Chlamydomonas reinhardtii: one gene and its partner. The main gene of each other region encodes a partner of the protein of the gene in region 2 in a complex. Links are inferred from orthologs where the notes say so. Each region holds a gene or a part of one and is shown on either strand. Other genes may lie near its edges. The genes, in order: CHLRE_01g030950v5 and CHLRE_06g306800v5.

Region 1 (3,904 bases), on a different chromosome or scaffold from region 2:
CAACTAGCTAGCTGTGCCAGACGTGCTTCTTTGAGGGGGAGGTAATTCCTCCTCTGCGGCCAGTGATTGGCCTTGCCTGTTCCCCTTGTTGTTAGTTGGCTGTCATGTGGCGGTTGACTGTTGGACCCGGTTCGGTCCGAGGGGGAGTGTTGGTTATTTGGGGTTTGCGGGCGTGAGTCCCGCAAGGTTGCGTCCCGAACCGCGTGATAGGCGAGGTCAGTGCGGCAGTTGACGGCTCGTGGCCGGTCACGTCTGTCAGCCAGTCCCAGGCCGCAGGCGTGGCACCCGGGGGATATTGCCCCGGCTAGTGCGCACGTTTTGCTAACTACACCCGCAGGATGTAGCGGACCAGACCCCCCAATACGGTGCCAGGCAGCATAGCTGCGCGTGTGTGTAACGCACCCGCCGTGAGTCCTAGCCAGCCGACCCCAATATCTCCAACAGTGGGGACGCGGGTTGGCGAGAGCCACGGATGGCCCTAATACCGTGGGGGCATGTCGCACCCGTGGAGGGCTCTGTATCCCCCTTTACGTTGTAAAGTCCAGTCAAGTCCGTCAAAGCACTGCAAGTACACGATACGCAAGTTCTTGGGTTGCCGCTTCGGTTGTCGGAGCCTATAATCGCATTGGGCACGTGCTCACCAGCACACGCGCACGTGCGCACACGTGTTTCGCACCCTGCCCTAGTACCACAGCCATCACCCATTTCGTCAATTCAATAAACGGCTGTCATTTCCATGGCATCACGGCACTCCGCGCATGAACGCGTCCCGTCAGCACACAACAGCATCAATCCCTACACCTGTAGAGGCCAGTGCTCCTATTTTGCAGTGCCAGCGCACCTTATGCACGCAAACCGGCACGCCCGGCCATCGTTCACGACCGTTACAAGCTCACATGCAGTCTTTTGCGCCGACACGGAAGGTCACGGCGTCCAGACGCCCCCGCGATTGCAGCTCCTGCTTGGACACCTTGAAGTACTATGGAGCGGGGGCATAATTGTGCCGAGGCGGAAGGGTGAGGATAAGTACGGTAGTGAGCTTCTGCTGGAGGCTGGGACAGGGGATGCCGCGAGCGGGGCAGGAGGCCGGAGTGGCCTGCGGCATTCAACCCCAGAATGGACTGTGGCGGCCGTTCGTCCGAACGCAGGCCCTTGCACGTCGAAGGCACTGTAAGGTTTCGGCGCGACCCGAATCTGACCACAAAGATTTCGGCCGCAGCCCTGCGGCACCTGTCTATTCCAGGTGGAACGCCGCACTCTGCCGCCAACACCGTAACCCTGACACTTGCTGCCCTGGACTCCTAGTCCTGTTGGCAAACGGCCTCGCCACCCGGCACCCGCCAGCTCCGCACCTTGTCAATCAGGTCCAGGTCCACCACCGTGCCCAGCTCCGACAGGGCCGCCTGCTCGCCTTCTATCCGCTTGGCCACCGCCTCCAGCTGCGGGTTAGCGGGCAGCCAGTCCGCAGTAGCAAGGTCAGGTGGCAGGTGCAAAGAGGTGCATGCTAAAGTGGCATTGGCGACCGCGACTGAGGTTACTGCAGAAGTATTGCGGTGCTGTGCCAGTTACACCTCAATGCGTTACGCCACCGGGACTCACCTCCTCAGGTTTGCAGTCGAATCGGGCCACCAGCACTGCCGACGTGTCGTCGTTGATGCCGAACCGCTTTAACGACTCAGCAACCTGCCCACCCGACGTCAGGGCACGCACTCGTGGCTTGGACGAGCTTACAGGCACGACACCAGCATTTGGAGTCTCCAGAAATTCATAGCACCCCCTTGACCGCCGACACACACCGACCGCCGACACACTGCCCCAAGCCCGCCTGGCGCGCTGCCGTCCGCCACCACCCTGCCCCACCCGGCACCAGCACGATCTGGTATGACAAGCACCTGCGGCCTTACATGCTTTGTGGCGCTGACGCCGTACACCAGCTCCGTGTGGATGTTCCTTGTGGCCATGCGCGTGCTGCCCTCCGCCGCCAGCGCCCGGTGCCCCGACAGCTGTAGGATGAAGGGGTCCAGCACCTTTGGGTGGGGAAGGGAGGGCAGGAAGGGACGCGGGAGATGCTGTTGGTGTTGTTGCAGCAGTGGCGGGCTCAAACTAGAGAGAGAATTCCCGGTTGTCTTTTCTCAGTTTACAAGGATGCAAGCAACTTTCCGACACGGCTCTAGCAGGGGTCGTCCGGCCCGGAGGCCGCGGCAGGGGGTGGCCAGGGAAGGGCACCGCCGCCGTCGCATAACCCCTTAACAATCCCCAGCACCCACCACTCTGGCGTTTATATATGCAAACTCTGGTAATGAGCCTTCTGCGAGCAGCGCCCGCAGTTCCCTGTGCATGCCGGGCGAAACATTCGTCGTCAGCATAGACCTCCTAGTTTCTTGGCTACAATTCGGCATGCGTACTTTGCATTTTTGACGTCCTTGAACAGTGCAGCCGTTAGCGTGCGGCCGGGATGAGTCTCAAACGACAGAACCGTGGGCTCGGCCATCTTGAAGTTCCGGTGATATATTATAAGTTATGGTTGCTAGACGAAGTCATACAATGAAAGAGGCTGTACAACGATCGCGTTGACTTTAGCGGGATGGACGGCAACTGGATTCCAAAGCTCGCCCCGATGGCTCACCCCCTTGTCGCGCCGTGCGACTTCCTGTTATATGTAAATTGAAATCCATAGATATGGCATCATCTTACCATGTCTGCGCTCCCTTGTTGTCCATCGGGCAGCAAGCGCGGCAGCGTCCCTTGTTCATCGACGCTGCGGGCCGTCCCACGCGTGCAGACGAAGCAGCTTCCACGCCACGCTCTGCCACTAGCTCTGAGCTTATGCATCGCATCGCGCTGCTCAGCCGCGCGCTATCGGCTTGCGGGCTGGACGGCTTGCAGCGCCCGCTAGCCCCGGTCGGCTCGGTGGTGGTGCTGGTCGCGCAGACGAGCGCTGTCATGATGGAAGCCATGCTGGCGTGCCTCGATGCCGGCTGCATCCTCTGCCCCGTAAACTGGCGCTGGAGCGTGGCTGAGCTGGCGGAGGCACTGCAGCGGCTGTCGCCGGCGCTGGTACTCCACGACGTCACATGCGCAGGCCTCGCGCAGCAGGCCGTGGCAGAGGCTGGCCGTGACCTGCAGGTGCAGCGTCAGCAACAAGAGCAGCACGCCGGCAGCAATGGCCCTTATCATGCTACGGCAGCAAAAACGGTGCCGCCTTTGTGCCTTATTGACCACTGGTGCCCAGCAACTGGCAGCCACGGTGCTGTCTGGGGTGGGTGCAGCACTACCACCAGCGCCACCGCTGCCACCGGTGCCCCCGCCAGCAGCAGCGGCAGCAGCAGAAGCACTGGCGCATGCCCACTGACCACCAGCCGTCTCATATCCTTTGCAGCAGGCCCACTGCCGTCCTCAACACCACCGCCGCCACCATCGCCACAGCTGCAGCTGCTGGCTCCCGCCTGCGGCACGGCGCTGCTGGTGTTCACGTCCGGCACCACGGCCGCGCCCAAGGGCGTGCAGCTGAGCCACGCCGCCTTCCACGCCCAGTCGATGGTGAAGCTGGCTCTGGTGGGCTACTGCCCCGCTGACACCTACCTGCACACGGCGCCGCTGTTCCACATCGGCGGCCTGTCCTCCGCCTTCGCCGCGCTCATGGCGGGCTGCGTGCAGGTGCGGCGACCGGTGAAGGGCGTAAAGCGTAGGTCAATGCGCACGTTGAGGTGCCTGGACGCGGTGGCCGGGCAGTCATTTTGCTGAGCAGGGGATATGTGAAGTTTGCATGTGCTGTACCACAGTTTGGTAACGAACACTGCAGCATTGTCATTATTATGTTGGAGCCTTGACGCATGACCACGGGCCGCAGGTTTTCATGCCCCGGTTCGATGCGGAGGCTGCGCTGGCGGCGATCCTGCACCAC
Region 2 (3,904 bases):
ACATGCAGGCAGGTCTAGCTGCCGCTGCCGCCTGGCCGCCCGCCTCCTCTGCTGCCGCTGAACGCCCCTGCCCATGCTCATGGCCCCTGTGATGGAGAAGCATACCCCGCCGCCCCCACACCGCGCCCCGCCCCCTTGTGCTCCTCCCCAGGCCGCCAGCTCGCGGCGGTCCATCCTGCTGTGTGCATTTATGCAGCACGCACGCGTCGGCTTCCACGTGTGTCCACCGGTCACTTCTCGGGCCCACCGGGGCCCGGGCCCCACATACACGCACACCGTGCCAACCTTCACACATCTGCACACCTCCGCATACACACACATACACACACAATGCCAACACACATCTTCCCACGCTCGCGTCCACCTTGGTGGCGGCCACTGCCTTGACGATGTCATCGAAGCCGGGCGGCGGCCCGTCCTCCTCCTCCGCCTCGTCCGCCCACGATTTCTTGGGAGTCTCCTTTGCTGGCTCCGGAGCGGCGGCCTCCTTGGCCGGCTCGGCCTTAGGAGCCTCGGCCTTGGGGGCTGCAGGTGGTTGGATTGAAGTTGGAAAGCGGGATTGCGTGTTAGGTGGGCCCTACATAGCTGTGTTGGGCAGGCGACCGAAGTCCGTGTCGACTGGGCGTCGCCCAGTGCTGGGTTCCCCCGCCAGGCTGTCCAGGCTGACACGCACTCCGGCGCAGCTGCGATGCTCGCCGCGCTCGCCGGCACGTAACTCACCCTCCTCCGTCGGCTTTGCTGGCGCGTCGTCAGCCTACGTGCAGACACGAGCGAGAATCGAAATTTAGTCCAAGATCGAGAGCCGCTGACTGCATGTGATCTGTCTGTTGACTCTATAGTTTTGAAAGTATCTCACGCACCATCTCGACTGCTCGGCGCCTGCTCTAGACCTGAGTCCTTCTGTGTTTGCCGCCGCACGCCAAGAACAGCTCAGTCACCAGTAAGTCAAGAACTCTGTGGGCCAAACCGATTAAAAATGTATATGCAATGGTCGTCGCTTCGCGGTTTTGTGGCACAGCCCATGCAGACGACCGATGGATTTTCTTATTCAGACCAATTTTCCAGTTCTGCTGCGACAGCTGCATATAATCAGCACACAAAATGGCAGGAGCAATGGAGGCGCAGGGAGGGGACGACAGCGCGGCAACCGGCGCCAAGGTGTGCCTGCATGTGCACCTCTGACTTTTTCGCTGTCTCGCTTGGGTCTTTGTGCTCTTGCGCTAGATTAAGCTTCAAAATGTTTCGGAATTGCGCCCCAGGCGGCTCATGAGGAGGAGCGCATTACCTTCCTAGGCCGGCCGGCGCTAGTTGTGACACTTGGCACTGGCGGCGGGGCGGGCGCTGGCGAGCGCTCGCAAAAGCGCGCCCGGCCCGAAGAGGGAGGCGACGAGGGAGCGCAGGGGGGCATCCGGCAGGTGAGGGGGGGGAGGGGCACGAGAAGGATGAGCAGGACGGGTTGGAGGGGTTGATGACGGCTGCGGCGGCGGGGGGCTGGGCTGCTGCCAGAGTCACAACGCGTTGCCCCCCGCCTCCACTCCAGCACTACCTGAGCACGCTGCTGGTTGAGTGGTAGTGGAACTTGCGCAGAAAGCTACCCGTGCTGACCTCGCCTCAAACCCCCACCCCCGCACCCCCCTCCTTGTCTCTCCACATGCGGCTTTGTCCCTCCTCTCTGCACACACGGCATCGGTGCTCGCGGGCGCAGGTGGCTCGCAGCATGCTGCGTGCGCACAAGCTGGGCGTGCTGGTGCCGCTGGTGTACCATACGGACGTGGAGAGCGGCCGGGCGGTGCTGGAGGCAGTGCCGGGCAGGCCGCTGCAGGCGCTGATGGAGGCGGCGGTGGCGGAAGCGGAAGCGGGGTCGGCAGGGGCGGAGGCGGCGGAGGCTGGTGGCAGCGGCAAGGCCGCGGCAGGTGAGCAGCAGTGTGAGCCCTACCGGGGACACCGTGACGCTGAAGCGTACCGTAAACCAAGTCATGCTGCAACTCTGCACCGATTTCAACTTCTCTGGTCATTGCACCGTATAGCATTGCACACGGCCGCCACACGCCACCGCACCTCAACTCACCACAACCTCCAAACCCGCCCAACCCGCCCGGCCCTGCCGGCACGCCAGACCTGGACGCGGCGGCGGTGGCCCTGGGCAAGGCGCTGGCGCGGCTGCACGACGGCGACCAGGTGCACGGCGGGCTGGGCGGCTCCAGCGTGCTGCTGCGGGACAGCGACGGAGCCGTGGTGGGTGCCGTGCGAGTGTCGGGGTGGGAGCAACAGGCGCAGCAGCATATGGAATGCAAGGAATGGGGCAGATTGCATTTGTTGGAGAGGGTGCTTGGAGGAGAGGCCCGCGCACCAGTTGGGGCACACGTAAAGTTGAACTGTACTGTACACGAAGGAGGACTTGGGTTGGTGGTGGATGCAGGGAGGATGCGGTCTGGTGTACTGCTGGCTGCGCTGGGGCCCCTGAGGCTCGGGGGTTCTCGCACAGATGTGACCTTGGATACCGGCACACACGTGTATCCTCCCCGCCTCCCCCGCTGCAACCTTCAGTGCAGGCTTCTCCAACCATCTTTGCAATCCCCCAACGCCTTCTGCCCACCTCCTCCAGGTGCTGACTGACTTCCGGCGCTCCACCAACTCCCTCATCGCCATCGACAAGGCCTCCGACCTCGCGGCACTGGAGAAGGCGCTGTTGGAGGCGGCGGCGGGACGGGGAGGGCAGGTGAGGTGGGGGAGGAGGGTCCAGGGGGTGTGAGGCAGCAGCACCAAGTCGGTGATGATGGTGGTTTTGATGGTGATGTTTGCGGTGACGCAGGAGGCTGCCGCAAGCACGTCGGCAGCTGCTGCGGGCGCGGAGTCGGGCGGTGATGGGGCGAAGGCTGCGGCTGCGGCTCCCTCCAAGGCGACAGAGATTGCCTCAGCCTTTGTGAGTCATGCCAACTGTCTAGCTGCTCTCGGATGCAAATGTGTGCATTTTCTTTCTGTTCTGACTCGCCATTGTCAGCTAGTCTCTCGCACGCGTGAAGGCTTTCCACGTGTGAAGGCACTACTGAATCTTTATGCTGTGGCGATGTGGCGACAGTTCGAGAAGGTCCTGAACACCTACCGCCCGTCATCCCGGATGTGGTCAGCCGTACACAACAAGCTGGCAGAAGGTACGGCTCATGGCAACATGGGGAGGGCCCGAAGGCGGCATGGGACGGTGTGCTGTGCAATCGTGCACACCTCGTGCCATACCATCCGGGCCGGGGACTGTGATATGTGTATCCGTCACGCCCGACCTCTGCTTCCGTTGTGTCTGCCATTCTGCTACCGCAGTGCGTGGACGAAAGGCGGTGTCACAACCCGGCCAAGCAGCGGCAGCGGCAGGGTCAGGGGCGAAAGCAGCGGCCGCAAACAAGAAAGCTAAGACAGAAGCTGCGAAGTAGAGGCGAGCTGCCGCGCTGGGTGCGGAGCGCTTGCGTGTTCCCAACGGGTATGACGGCAGCGACACACGAGGGGGTGGCGGGCGAGGGGCGGGCTGCTTGGATGAGGGTACGGCGGGGGTGTGCTGGAGCCGTGGGCGGCAGGGCGGCTCGACGGCGGCCCTTGCTTCGGCATGGGCTGGGGCTGAAGCATGGTGAGCAAGGGGCCGGCGGTGGCACAAACGTGCACGACGGTTGAGGTGTATGTCCCGTGTTTGCGGGCTGAGCACGGCTTCATCATAGGTCTTTGGCGCAGCGCACAGGCACCTAGGACTGCCTTTGATTGTGTGCCGTTGGTATGCACGCTGCTGGTATGGGCCACTGGGGCTTTTGGATGTGGCGTGTGGGGCAGCACGTTGGACAATGCAGCTGGCGGCCTCGGACGACAGACACAAGGACTTGAAGATGGGTACCCCCGGACGGTTCAGGCTTTCGGGCGGGGG

What was found.
Region 1: the proteins of CHLRE_06g306800v5 (region 2) and CHLRE_01g030950v5 are in contact, whole or in part, in a cryo-EM structure (PDB 8K20), measured with the Arabidopsis thaliana proteins. The link is inferred for Chlamydomonas reinhardtii from reciprocal best matches to the Arabidopsis thaliana genes AT5G26110 and AT4G34412. Residues at the interface, in NP_001331017.1 of Arabidopsis thaliana: Thr27, Phe28, Ala29, Arg31, Asn58, Ala61, Arg62, Thr65, Arg68, Lys69, Leu70, Gly71, Val72, Cys73, Val76, Leu77, Tyr78, Ala79, Val80, Asp81, Thr82, Leu83, Leu84, Gln151; in NP_680763.2 of Arabidopsis thaliana: Asp7, Phe51, Leu54, Ala55, Gln58, Ile62, Arg66, Lys147, Thr149, Gln151, Glu152, Ile155, Ser156, Asp160, Val163, Cys164, Ala167, Ala168, Asp170, Ala171, Leu172.

What each region holds. Positions count from the first base shown.
Region 1 is NC_057004.1:4,534,566-4,538,469, reverse strand, and holds CHLRE_01g030950v5 (uncharacterized protein), read right to left. Parts: upstream 2,534-3,904; 5' UTR 2,492-2,533; coding exon 2,406-2,491; intron 2,332-2,405; coding exon 2,268-2,331; intron 2,028-2,267; coding exon 1,905-2,027; intron 1,684-1,904; coding exon 1,600-1,683; intron 1,440-1,599; coding exon 1,353-1,439; intron 980-1,352; coding exon 893-979; 3' UTR 465-892; downstream 1-464. Other genes in the region: CHLRE_01g030900v5 (uncharacterized protein), read left to right, coding at 2,827-3,657, 3,851-3,904.
Region 2 is NC_057009.1:8,380,092-8,383,995, reverse strand, and holds the start of CHLRE_06g306800v5 (uncharacterized protein), read left to right. Parts: upstream 1-1,070; 5' UTR 1,071-1,158; intron 1,159-1,259; 5' UTR 1,260-1,415; intron 1,416-1,705; 5' UTR 1,706-1,717; coding exon 1,718-1,913; intron 1,914-2,116; coding exon 2,117-2,235; intron 2,236-2,605; coding exon 2,606-2,719; intron 2,720-2,812; coding exon 2,813-2,923; intron 2,924-3,079; coding exon 3,080-3,152; intron 3,153-3,315; coding exon 3,316-3,425; 3' UTR 3,426-3,904. Other genes in the region: CHLRE_06g306850v5 (uncharacterized protein), read right to left, coding at 365-525, 721-754, 861-863.